Neodiprion lecontei: one gene and its partner. The protein of the gene in region 1 binds, or shares a complex with, the protein of each later gene. Links are inferred from orthologs where the notes say so. Each region holds a gene or a part of one and is shown on either strand. Other genes may lie near its edges.

What was found. Proteins that work in one complex are often made in the same cells at the same time.
Region 2: dynein regulatory complex subunit 3 (region 1) and dynein regulatory complex subunit 4 share a complex: the UniProt entries of both Homo sapiens proteins name them as parts of the nexin-dynein regulatory complex. The link is inferred for Neodiprion lecontei from reciprocal best matches to the Homo sapiens genes DRC3 and DRC4.

What each region holds. Positions count from the first base shown.
Region 1 is NC_060263.1:21,534,864-21,541,501, reverse strand, and holds dynein regulatory complex subunit 3, read right to left. Parts: upstream 4,998-6,638; 5' UTR 4,898-4,997; intron 4,879-4,897; exon of another isoform or gene 4,376-4,878; intron 4,287-4,375; 5' UTR 4,272-4,286; coding exon 4,094-4,271; intron 3,873-4,093; coding exon 3,589-3,872; intron 3,356-3,588; coding exon 3,183-3,355; intron 2,951-3,182; coding exon 2,793-2,950; intron 2,345-2,792; coding exon 2,152-2,344; intron 1,902-2,151; coding exon 1,694-1,901; intron 1,412-1,693; coding exon 1,157-1,411; intron 991-1,156; coding exon 914-990; intron 746-913; coding exon 598-745; 3' UTR 525-597; downstream 1-524. Other genes in the region: enoyl-CoA delta isomerase 1, mitochondrial, read left to right, coding at 147-307; TOM1-like protein 2, read left to right, coding at 5,254-5,311, 6,066-6,235. UniProt on the Homo sapiens protein: Component of the nexin-dynein regulatory complex (N-DRC) a key regulator of ciliary/flagellar motility which maintains the alignment and integrity of the distal axoneme and regulates microtubule sliding in motile axonemes.
Region 2 is NC_060265.1:27,418,685-27,425,284, forward strand, and holds dynein regulatory complex subunit 4, read right to left. Parts: upstream 4,744-6,600; 5' UTR 4,429-4,743; coding exon 4,426-4,428; intron 4,342-4,425; coding exon 4,124-4,341; intron 4,056-4,123; coding exon 3,794-4,055; intron 3,700-3,793; coding exon 3,439-3,699; intron 3,338-3,438; coding exon 3,170-3,337; intron 3,084-3,169; coding exon 2,997-3,083; intron 2,910-2,996; coding exon 2,700-2,909; intron 2,629-2,699; coding exon 2,413-2,628; 3' UTR 531-2,412; downstream 1-530. Other genes in the region: pantothenate kinase 3, read right to left, coding at 6,517-6,570. UniProt on the Homo sapiens protein: Component of the nexin-dynein regulatory complex (N-DRC), a key regulator of ciliary/flagellar motility which maintains the alignment and integrity of the distal axoneme and regulates microtubule sliding in motile axonemes.

The DNA of each region.
Region 1 (6,638 bases):
ATATGTATATATTATGTATGCATTATGAAGATATCATTGCAAAATCAAATACAATGTGAAAATCTTTAAGTCTCGGTATTCTGTGTGATAATATTAACTGTATTATTTTAGAATACAGATATTCTAATACAAATTTTGTTCTGCAGCTGGTGCAAGGTCCGCAACGAAGCATCAGTTAAGGAAGTCAGCACTCTCATGGCTTGAAAAAAATAGAGATTTTGATGTGAAAATATTCATTGGCTTCTTAGAGCAACCACAGGTACAAAAGGGTTTGGATATGTACATCCAGAGCTTAAAAAAGAAGTGAAACCGCTGAAGCTAACAGTAACGATACGTCATGCCATAACAGCCCCCACCTGACAGAGCTGTGATATATGGCGAATACAATAGATTTTTCTACTTTACAATGCAGATAAGAAATAAAAATATTTTGATATGAATTTATTTACCGTGAATTTTTTTGAGTATGTTATATTTGAAATAGGTACTAATAAACAGTAGGAATGGATAAAACGTTTATTGTTTATACATTTAATTCATTTTGTTCACAGTATTATGAAACAAACTGGCTTTATAAGAAATCAGTTGCTTTATGTTTTATTGCTCAAGTACTGCAGCAATATCTGGATCGTCAGTGTTCACGTATAACGGCTGCTGTAATTGTAGTGCATCAAATTCTTCCCGTTGACACTCAAGAAAATGGGAAATTTCTAGTATCTTCTGACGGTTCCGGTTACTTTCATTCCTTAAAACAGAAAAACGAAGACCACCTCGACTTTACTAATATGGTTACTACTCGAAAAATATAGGTCACAAATTCTACAGTCTACAGTCTATTTTAAAAACGAGACAGATCTCGTGTATCTTGGATATTTGTGGTTTAAATTATCTCAATAGTTATGCTGCTACTTACTCTGCCAATTTTTCAATCTTCCCTTCAAGCCAACCATTAAGTCGACTTGTTAGACGATCTTCACGCCCATCGATGATCTGAATAAGCAGAATTTAAAAGAATTTTATGAGAGCCCATGTCATTTATCATGTTGTTTTGATCATTATGCAACTGCTCGAAAAACGTAAGCGATGAAAAACGACATTTGTTGATTTTAAATAGCTTAATATTTATTCGTGCACTCAAATAAGCATATAAGCATACCTGGAGATGTAGATCATGGGATGCTGCCAAATTGTTATTCAAAATGTCCTTATCACCGATTATATCCGTTACACTAGGTGACATTTTACTATCTTCCGTAGCCTGACTTGTATTCATAACAACACTAGCTATTCCAGCAATGTTGTCGGTATATTCGGCTTCCAGATTTCTCATTAATGAGAATATATTCTGGGCTGCTTCTAAGAACGATCCAACCATATCTGTCATATGCTGTTTGAACACTTCGTTTATATCCTGCAGATATGTCATTGTTAATATATAATTATCAGTATTTGTTGCAATCAATACTTATAAAAAGCTGCAGGTCAAACGTCGCAAGTGTGTCTAATTGATTTGCTCGGTCAATATTAGTTTTATTAAGCAATAGGAGGTATTTGGAGAACTCTGATTACTTGTGCAATCCAAATCAAATGTTTATCATGTATGACTAACTTTGCCTTGTGTGAAACTATATGAATAGCTGAAAGGAATACCAGTAATTCATTCAACACCAGTGATAAATAAATGGATACACACTTCCATTTGGTCATGAAGAATCACTTCCTTGTGCATGAGCTTTGTCCAGGTTCTAGCCACCAAGTCACTGAATTCTTCGGACAGCTGACGAGCTTTGTCTAATTTTTCTTCGAGAACTTCAGTCTCCAACTCTTCAGTCATTGATTGCATAAGTGCTTTTACGTCTGCTAAGATTTCAGCCTTTCTATCCATTATTTCATCCATCATCCTTTATACAAAAAAATTTCAATTGAAAGAAATGCTAATAAATTTATTTGTCCGAAGAATATGATTAGCATTTTTTTGTGTATTTATACTTGTAATTTAATGAAAGTCTCATTTATTGTGAAATTGTTTTAATAGTATGAATAATTGACGAAATCTGTGATTTATTTTTACTAATTATTGACATTTGCGATTATACACTTTATATTCATATTATTATTATATGAATTATGTAAGGTATATCTGGTACTTACATTTGGGAATCTTTCTGAATGTCGTCTTCACCTTTAGTGACTAAATCTTCAAACATTTTTATTTCGTTGGACCTTCGGATTTGTTCAGCTAGCCCCAGTTCATACAAATCTTTGCAAAGTTCCATGAACTTTACTTTATACTCCGCATATGCAGATCGTGCATCTTCGCTGAGTGTTAAGAAGTCGTTACCTTCTGTAATGAAGTATTTCTGAATCAAAATGTGAATTTTACATATTTTCAGACATTCAATTTTCAAATATTATGGTAAAATTCACACTTAAGACGGAAATTTTATTTATTGAATATTTTTCTGCTTGAAAAGCCTGATAGGCATTGATAGATCACGATTAGATATTAAAGAATATCATAGAATACGAGCCACAAACACGATACACAGTGATAAGTCTATGGTGTTTCTGAAATCCATTCTATAATATTCTATTAGAATCTTACAAATCCTCTCAAACTTTTCCAGTAGGGCTAGATTAACGAAAAAAAAAATCGTATCCCAGACGAATAAGCGTAGTTTGATGCCAAATAGAAAGTATTGATGTCTTAAGATAAAGAGAATAATATTTAAGATATTGTTGATAAAAGCAAAAAGAATTAAAAGAGAAAATTTTCTTTCTTTCATAATTACCCTTGTCTTTTTCAAACATTTTATTGAACAAGTAGTCGTCATCGAGATATTCCACGTAAGATATGGATAATAATGCAACATTTTCCTCAAATGCTGCTTGCTTGTCCAACTTTTCTTGTTCTTTAGCTTCTTCTTCCAACAAATTACTAATGATTCGACTAAAACATTTAAGTATACAAACTGATTATCATTAATTCTGTTTAAACGCATCTAGGATAAAACTTGAACAATGCATTATTAATTTCTTCCTGCAATTCTTTTACTATAATATTTATATCCCATGATGGCCTGCAATATCTGGCGGTATTAAAAATACTCTAAATTATGAGCATGAGTGGATTTTTACAAATCAATCTAACTCTGTCGATTTACGGGAAATATGAAATTTACTAATGTTCATCAGCGGCAGCCTGGCGTTCTCGGTCCGTTATCATTTTGTACTGAAGATAGATTAATTGTGGTATAAAGGCAATCAAATAGTTCAAATATCCTTCTTTTTCCATGCACGAATTTCCAGAGACATTTAAACTCCGTAATTTTTTGAATTTCCGTAAATACATGACCTGTAAAAATTTAGCAATTATGCTGACCATGAAATTTAAGCAAATTGGAGCCCTACATATAGCTATCAATAATAATTTAATTACAGTGCGATAATTTAAGATTGGTTGATTCAATGATTGAAAAAGTATAAGAATTTCTAGGTGATAATTGACTAAGTTAAAAAAAAATAACAATAATAACAATAACACACATGATGCGAAATTAGAACTTATGTAGAAGAATAATGAATTACATGATGCCAATCGGCAATATTGTTATTTCCAATACTGAAAATTGTAAGTTCATTCAAATCGTCGATTCCCTGAATAAGACTAATTTGATTCTCATACAGCAATAAAATTTCCAAACATTTCAAATGGTTCAAATTCTCCATAGTTTCGATATGGTTGAACGACAGATCAAGCTCTTTTAAATTAATCAGGACATCCAAGTTAACAATCCTTTCAATTTTGTTGTTGCTCAGTTTTAATTTCACCAAGTTTGGCATTAACCATAGGTGGTCTATATTTAAAATATCTAAAAAAGATAAAAGTAATGAGTATAAGGAACTATTTTGTTCTGAAATAGGATTCGACACTACATTACAAAAAAAAAAAAAACAATTTAACAGCTAGCACGAAGTTTTCCGAGTCTTCATATTCGTACACTCGATGTAAGACCATCGACGTTTATTAATTTTTTTTCGACACCCTACCGCGCCCGTGTTGGATCCCACATAATATCCATAGGTTTCTTACTAAGAAATTCGATTCGAATTTCTGTCACTTCTTCCAGGTTTATCCCATCCTCTACGAACAATCTTCCAGCTTCCTTTTTTGGCCCTTGGTCAATTATTAAAGCCACGAGCATTTTTTGGTCTATCACCCCAGGTTCTGCGGATTCTTGCAATATTATCGGTTTGTCTTCAGTCTTCATAATTTATACTGCGTTCTAAAAACTCTTCGTTGTATTTTGTATGTTTAAATGAAATACAACGATGAAGAAACTGGTGTATGCAGTTGTACGAAACGTTAACTCACGTGAATAATTTTAGCATTCAAAATTCACGTATCAGCTAGTTCAAAATGTGGGATGGTCTGATGTAAAATTTAACCTTAGAATTCACATTTGCTTGGTATTCATATCAACAAAATAGTTTCCCGTTTCCATAGCGATATAGATATTTATACTTTCGTCGCAATGAGCCTGATGACATGACTCATTGAACATTACTATATCGATTCTTTGTTTTTGCCACGTTACAAAATGCACATTCAAGACTAAATCGAATTAAAAGCAATTAGATTTTAATGATAAAGCATTTTTTTTCGCATGATCGAATTCGAAAACTTTGAAAATGAGATTATAAAAATTCGTGATTGTTGAATTTCAAACTTTGCTCCGATTTGAAAATCCGATCGTAAATATGGCATCACGCCTCAGTTTTCAGGCAAAATGTATATTAAAAATAAGAAATTGTCGTAATAAATATAGACGCAATTGACGAATCCCAGTTCATTACACTCATTATCCGAACGATGTTGACTATAGGCATTACTTACGCCTCGTCTTCCGAGGCGTTTGAATATGCGTAGCAAGCATTCAATCGAGGCGGCCATTTTGATTTTTGAGCCAATAGGCGGTCATTTAGCGAAGCCAGTGCAGCTGCGTCACGGAAAATGGAGTACCATTGGTCGGGGAAAACATGATTTGACGTCTAGGCGCAGTACTCCATTACCACGGTGTCATATGATTATCTCTACGTGACACATCGGGAGAGTGAAAATTTGATAAACTGTTACTGTCCGACAACAATTTGCCGATAAATTTACCGTCAGGCTACTTACTTATGCGGCAGTAAGCCGAGAGGCAGTGTGCAAAGTTCTAACATCCAAATACGGTATAAAAGGAACAAAAAATGTCTTTTTTCGGTGTACCTGTGAATCCATTTTCGACGCCAGTTGGTCAGAGAATAGGTGAGATTCATAGTTCGTCGTATAAGCCTAGCTTTTTCCATGCCATTGTTGTTTTGACCATATATTCATTCGCCTAATTGGTTACTTACTGCATTATTACGTAAACGTTCAATACTATTGTCTTGGCGTGTCGCGATTTTTTTTAGTTGTTTTGTTTTATTGATTATTTTCTGCACCACATTGTTGTAGCACTCCTTAGCTTTCCTTTCTTTCTTTATTTTTTATATTCCCTTCTTCCTCTGGTTACCTTAGATTTACTAATGAACATTGAGGTGCACTAATTATGTAGTCAATTATCAGGAGCATAAGCGGAACGTTTAATTAGCGTAAATTATTATTGTCTATATTTTCTTACTGAGCTGCTTCAAAGGTGTGAACTGATGGAAACTTATCACAATTTTTGCAATAATATTCCTCTGAATAATGGTGCAATTATATTAGTAATTATATTTCCTTGAAAATATAATTAAATTACCTTGTATCATTGTCTGTTAATGGGCACTTGCCATAGAATCCAATTCACTTGAAACTAGATCTTGTTAACAGGTTTATATTCTATTTTTAGATGAAACTTATTCTCAGTGAATTCAAAAAATCTGCAAAAAAATCCACTCGCTGAAATTTTTTACTCGCATGTCGCAGCCTGCGTGGCAGTAGGAATATAAATGATGTCTACAAATTGAACCAATTATGCGCTGTTACTGTAACTCAACGTGTACTGGAATAATTGAGACATTGTGATATAAAATTGCAGAACAAGCTACAGATGGAAGCCTGCCAAGTGAGAATTGGGCACTTAATATGGAAATATGCGATATCATTAACGAAACTGAAGACGGACCTCGGGATGCAGTTAAAGCTATTCGACGGCGATTGAATCAAGCAGCTGGAAAGAACTATACCATCGTTATGTACACTCTCACTGTTAGTATTTGGTCCTTCTAATTTGTCTGCTATGGGCAAAAACAGAGTTTTCTTTCCCTTAACAGCACAATGTCATGAAGCTGAACCTAGTGGTTCCAGTTAGTCACTCAACATACTCAACTTTTTCCAAATGGAGTTCTGTAGTACAATTCAATACTTATGATTCTGTAAATGTATTAAACTTTCTAGAGATTTGAAGAAATTTTGAATTCTGAGCCTTCACATCATTTTGCTTTGATGATCTTTTTCAACTAACATTAGTATGCATAGCAGCTAATTTTGACCACTGGCTTGAACATAATTACCAACATGCACGTAATTATTATTCACCCCTATAGGTTTTAAGCATTATATTTTATTCTATGTGGTAGAAGATGAAATATTTTTGAACAGCAATAGCAAC
Region 2 (6,600 bases), on another chromosome or scaffold:
TTCTACAAGCCTTTTCAATACCAGACCAATATAGCATTTAATGTCCTCTCTGTACAACAATCATGGAAGTATATTCATTGGCGTAGTACAGTCAATAGGTAGCTAAATTTCTAGTGAAGGTAATTCATGTTCAAAAATATATAATATATACATATATATGTATATACACACATATTAATACACATAAAATAGATGTAAGGGGTATGCATAAACAGGGCTTAATTTTAAAAAATGGTACCCTGATGACACAATTTTGTGAACCAGTTAACAAAATTTCGAACCTTTCTACGAAAACAAAGAAATTATTTGATTTTTTTTTTATTCCTCCTGTTAAAAATCAAAGTAACCTGAATTAAAAATATTTTTTGTTAGAAAAAAAAATTGAAAGCAAAATATATAACAAAGGATCAATGGACCATAATATATTTAATATTAAACATATAATTATTTTTTCTACATTAGGATTTACGTGAAAATAGTTGAACGAAAAATATGGAAGCCCTGTGAGTAAAAACTTTTTATTCTTTTTCCAGTAAAGTACCAAATGATTAGGATATTAATACCAAGATCCATGTAATTTGTACCCTGTAAGTTTCTGTTTTTAGCTTTTGCGTAGCTATTTTGAAGTTGTAATGTAGAACAAAATCCATAGCATTTCTATGTAGCTTTAGTATCGTAACATGTTGTACAAAACGAGTTGTTGGAAGCAGGCGTGAGGAATGAGACTATTATATATATTATATCTTATATATATTATATACACAGATAATTACTATGTATTTGCTACATGAAAGTATAAAAAGTGCGGGAAAAGAAAATCTATCACTCTATATTATCTTCTATTAAATATTATGGCATTTGTGATAGGTTGAAAAACGTATTTGCCAAAGTAAGTCAAATTATTATGGATAACATTTTGTAACGTACTGTGGTGCTTTAATTTAATCTTTTCTGCATGAAGGAGTTTCTTAGTTTTTAAGTCATGTTGTTTTCTTAGAGAAAGAAATTTTCAACCGTGAATCTTAATATTATAATCCCTATGATACGGAAAGTATGAAAGTCTGGAATTGGCGTGGAGTATTGAAAACTATATTACATTTGTAGGCAATTATTACTGGACTATGTCTGCTTTCAACATTCGGTACAATTCTATTCATCTACCACTCTCATGATGTACAATGATTTCATCTGTGATTCTATTTCTTATTGTGCCAAAATTATTACTATATATTATTATATAAAATTATATCTTTACAAATATAAAATAACAAAAATACGATATTTATGAAGAAATATATATATGTATATATATATATATATATATATATATTCGTAATGCAGGAAAACTATAAAACACATCTTTATTTTGAGATTCATCTGAAATCTGTAATATGTACCCTCATTAGTACATACATAAAATTGCAAAAGAGCTTGATAATTGTTTATTGTAACCATTGAGGCCTGTGAGAAAAAATATCGTACATACATTCAAATTTCAGAAAAGGAAGATCCAATTCTCAACTTATATACGCAGAGAAGTGTTTTATCTGTGTCCTGCCTTGATAAATGTTTCAAATTTAATAAACTGTGACCTGACGTATTTGACTTAAAATAATATTAAACTTAGAATAGTAAATGTCTAATACACAAACAAGACACACACACACACGCGCGCGCGCAAAAATATCTATACTAAAATTCAGCAAAAACCTAAACTACCAACCATGTACACGTCTATAGTGTATATTTGAAAGCGCATACATTGCCGTATTTGTACTCATACACGAATAGGTATGTATATGTATGGTAAAACCTTATAAAATTTGTGGCGCATGTTTGTTCCGACGAATCATAAGGCTTTAGTAATTCAAATCTTTCAATGTTATTGTTTATTTCTACCGACAGCATCAATTAAAAAAAACTCTTCTCGTTTTGCAGACATGAGGAAAACAATGGAAAATATATTGACAAAAATATGATTTTTTTAAAATTTAATGTATGCCTCATCATTTCAGGGGACATGTCACGTTAATCTTTATGACGCATACACACACGCATATACCTATATAAATATACATAAATATATATATATACATATTGTACATCCTCTGTGATAAATTTATCTAATATTTGAGGATAATAGATGTATCTGTTTCTGACGATCGTTTACCGTATTCTGGAATAAAAGTATTGTATGTGCATCGAAGGAAATTCAATTTTTCAACCCACATCTACAAAAATTTTTGTTCACATAGCCATTGATGGCAAATACATACTTATGCTCAGGGTAGTACTGATCGATATTTCAAGAAGGTTAATAGTATGGACGTTGACAACTGCGTGTTTTATATACGCTGATGTTTTATTTACACGACCTTGTACGAAAGTTTATATTATATACAGTCTAATGTCTCATCTATTATTAGACACAACTGAGGTAGAAACAAGACTCATTTTTGCACCTAAGACTTTGGTTCTGATGGGCTGAAAGCTGATCCCAGATTCTGGTATTCCATATTCCTGTAATTTGCTTTGGCACGTCACTAAAAGATCGTCATGTGCTTTGCAAACTCTTGCTAATTCCACTTGAAGATCTTGAATGGCTGTGTTTTTACGATTTAACAATTCCTGGTAGAATAAAATAGTTATTAAGTGATAATTGAAGTATTCAAATAACAGGGCAGAATAGTCACACTTACTTCCAGTTTCTGATTGACGCTCAAAATAGTCGCTGGATCTAACTGAGCAGCAGCTAACACTTCACTTATTTGGACCTCTCGCTGTTCCAGCAAGTCAGAAAGTTTCTGTAACTTTTTCTCGAGGAGGACGTTTTTCAGCCCAGTCTTTTGCTGAAGTTCTAAAATCGCTGAGACGAACCTGGAATGAAGTTCATCACGCTCACCTTGACACTACAAAAAACGAAAAATGTGCACAGTTAGTAAAATCCTATGAGATAGTTTCAGGTGATGCACTCGGATGCATATTTTGCTAGTCACCTTTTCGAATCGCAGCTCAAGCACTTCGTTCTCCCATTTCAGGTTTTCTAGTGACTTCACAGCTTCAGTCAATCGTTTCTTGGTGTTCTAATACAAACAAAAATACATAAATAAGTGAAAACAGTGAACTGCCATTGGATAATTGGCATTAATGAATAAACCCCAACACCCACTGCCAAACACGTTTTGTCCTTGGTGTAATTCAGAAGTTGTCGACTATATTCTGATACTTGTTCCTGAGCAATTTTCAGATCTGCCTGGAGTTTTTTGTTATCGATCGACAATTCTCGTACCTGCTTTTTCATTCGCTCTTCGTGATTTTTCATCACTTCCATTTGTTCCTAGCAGATTAAAATATAAGGATCAATTGACTTTCTCAAGAGTAAATGATGGGTGTATCACAGTACCGAATAAATCTGACTTCAGGTCATATCCCATTCACCTTCATGCTTCGAATTAGAGACAAGTTATTTAGTGTGATATCATTATAGTAATTCTTCATTTCAGCAAATGATCTTTCATGATTTTTTATCAAATCCGCAATTTGTTTGTTTTTCCTTTCCTCTACTTCAGTTATTTCCATTCGATGTTTCAATGTCAGCGATTCGTATTGATCGGCTAATTTATGCTCATACTTTTGCTCCAGTTCGATTGCTTCTGCCTCAAACTTCTTCATCATGTTACTCATTTCCTCTGCATTTGCCTATTAAGTGAGGGAAAGAACATAATCATATAATCTTATATTAATATGGGTGAAAGGTAAATTCTAATTTATAAAAGACTACGTTACTACGCACCAGTTTCAGTTCGCGTATTTCATCTACTTGTGCCATTTCTTGCTCTTTGCGCATTCTTTTGAGCTCCTTTTTATCTTTGATAAGTTCATTTTCTTGCAAAATGTGATCATCTTGAGCCATTTTGAGCGCAACCATATGCTCAGCCTTGGTTTCGGACAAATTACTTTGATGCTCATACATCAAGTGTTTCACTTTTTGCTTATACAACTTTAGTTCAGCTTCGTGCTTTTCAATTAATTCTTCTTTTTCACGTTCCTTATTTCTACGTAAATATCATTGCATAAGATTCTTGACAAAGAATTAGTAAGTATTATTCCGTTTTTACACTACCTAATAGTTGCACGAGCTTCATCTAGTTGGTGTCGTGTAATTTCCCAAAATGTTCTCAGCTTGTCACGCTCTAGCTGAAAGAAATTTCTTTCTTCGCGTTCCCTTTCCATTTCTTCCAAAATTTTATGCGAATAGACTTCCAGCTGCTCTCTATTCATTTTCGATGTATCTACACCTTCGACAGATTCCATTTTTTTCCCTCTTCCTTTCTTAGGACCCTATAAGAAAAAGTGATATTTTTTACTAATAAAATTGGCATTGACAGAAAACATATAAGTTGACGGATCATTTTTAAACCTTACCATTGTGCTAGTGAATTTTTACAAAGACGTTGACAATACTTTCTTTAGTTGTACTCCAATGTATAGTTTGCGATAAATTTTTCTTTAATGAGATAGTGTAGTACGTACACCTATTCAATTATTCAATCATTGAATACTGATGTAAAGTTATTCGAAAATTCAAAACTTTTGAAAGCAATGAAAATACCAAACTTCAGAATGTTGCCATACTGTTTGTCTATGGTTACCAAGCAACGTCAAGTATAGAAAGAATATATAGATAAAAACACCTGTTGCCTCCACTGGTTGCTTTTAAAATTGGAATCGACAATTTAGTATTAGCAAAGAATATCATTTGAATAAAGATGAACAAATTTGGAATAGATAGACAATAACTATACATGTTTTACAAATTGTCTATTAAAATTCTCTAGGGTTTACTTGTAAATAAGATTACAGATTACAGGTATACTCAATAATTTTTTTTCAATCAATTTGACTATAAACATAAATGAAACAGTTTCACAAATCATAACTCACAACAATGTCTATCTTATTGGCAGAACATGTAGTGACAACTGAAAATGATTTGAATAATGAACGATAATAGCGCGAACGGAGGATGCGAGATCTTTTACTTATTTTCCAAATGTACCAGCTGCAGCCCATAGTTATAGTTAAATAGATAAAATATGCTGTAATCCCTTTTCACATGATATCAGAAACTAAACGATCGTTTAAAAAAGAAGTAAGTAATTTACATCTATTTTAATAACTCGAAATTCGTTATGGTTGGTACTGACAATAATTTAATAAATTTCTCCGGTTCATTGATCAAAAAAGGTAAACAATCGATTCGTGACACTCGTATAAACATACAATTTATCTAAAGTCTTTCTCTGAGAAAGCGTAACACAATTTTGCTAATCTTATAGTTTGTTAGGCTTATTACTATCACGCATATATAGTGAAAATAAAATACAATAACGCGTCGAGATTTATCAACGACGTACATACGATACGTACATATTTCAACAGTGTAATAACAGATAATTAAGGCAGAGCAAGTATATCCCAGCTAGAGCCTCAAGCAATTCAATTCGCGTTACCTAAATATTGTCTTATATGGTGTAATGTAGGTGTAATGTAATGCATATTAAAATTCACCAACACGTATCCCGTTATATAAAACTATCAAAATGAAAAGAAAACAGTATTGAACTACTTTTGTATATAATATTATGCAAGAACGACTATTCCCAGACCTAATAAAATACGAGTTAGTATAAGATTGAATTTTTTAAAAATGTTCTACATAATCTGTACAATATCTTACGTATCAGTATTACGACAAAATTCATTATCAGTAAGTTACGATTTTTTGCAAGAATTATCAGTTCATAATTCAAGCTATATTTCCAGTTCTTCAAATATTGTACGAGAAACTCAGATATAGCATCGACAGCTTGCAAATATCATTCAACAACTTAAAAATAATATTAAGTAAGTTATTTTGTAAAATATTGTGATAAATAATTCTTCACTTTTCACGTACAGTTTGGTCCAACAACTGATTTTGTATTACTAAAACATTTGTGCCCTGAGCCTTGGACGTTCTATGATGGTTTTTTTTTTTTTTTTATCTCTTTTATGAATACATGTTGAAAATTTTATCCAATACGATTGTATAATATAAACTTGATACGTGTACAGAATGAACAAAGGAAAGCGCAGCCATTGATTCGAAACCACAGACTGTATTATTAATAATTATATGAAATCTGCTATTTTTGTGATAAGTCAACAATGGGCTGTGACTGCAAATCGAATAGCGTGGCACGTTTTTCTTTACTCAATTTGCGCATATATTATACATATATACATATTCGTGAACGTGTAGAGAGCCCTAAAATAAAGTAAGAACGATAACAAAAATAAATAATAGTAAAATACTGATTTCTGCTTACGGACTTTAGATTATTATTAAAAGGCTAAATTCGATAAATAGAAATCATCTACAAATCTTCGTTAACATGCGACCAGACGCAATAGTTATCAAGATTTGATCTTCATGGGAATGCTTCACGTAACGGCACGGACCGGAGGACATGATTAACTTGTATTGCCATTAAATTGTAATAAACAACCAACTGCTCCGAAGTATCCCTGTAATGACAATATATTCATATAAAATAT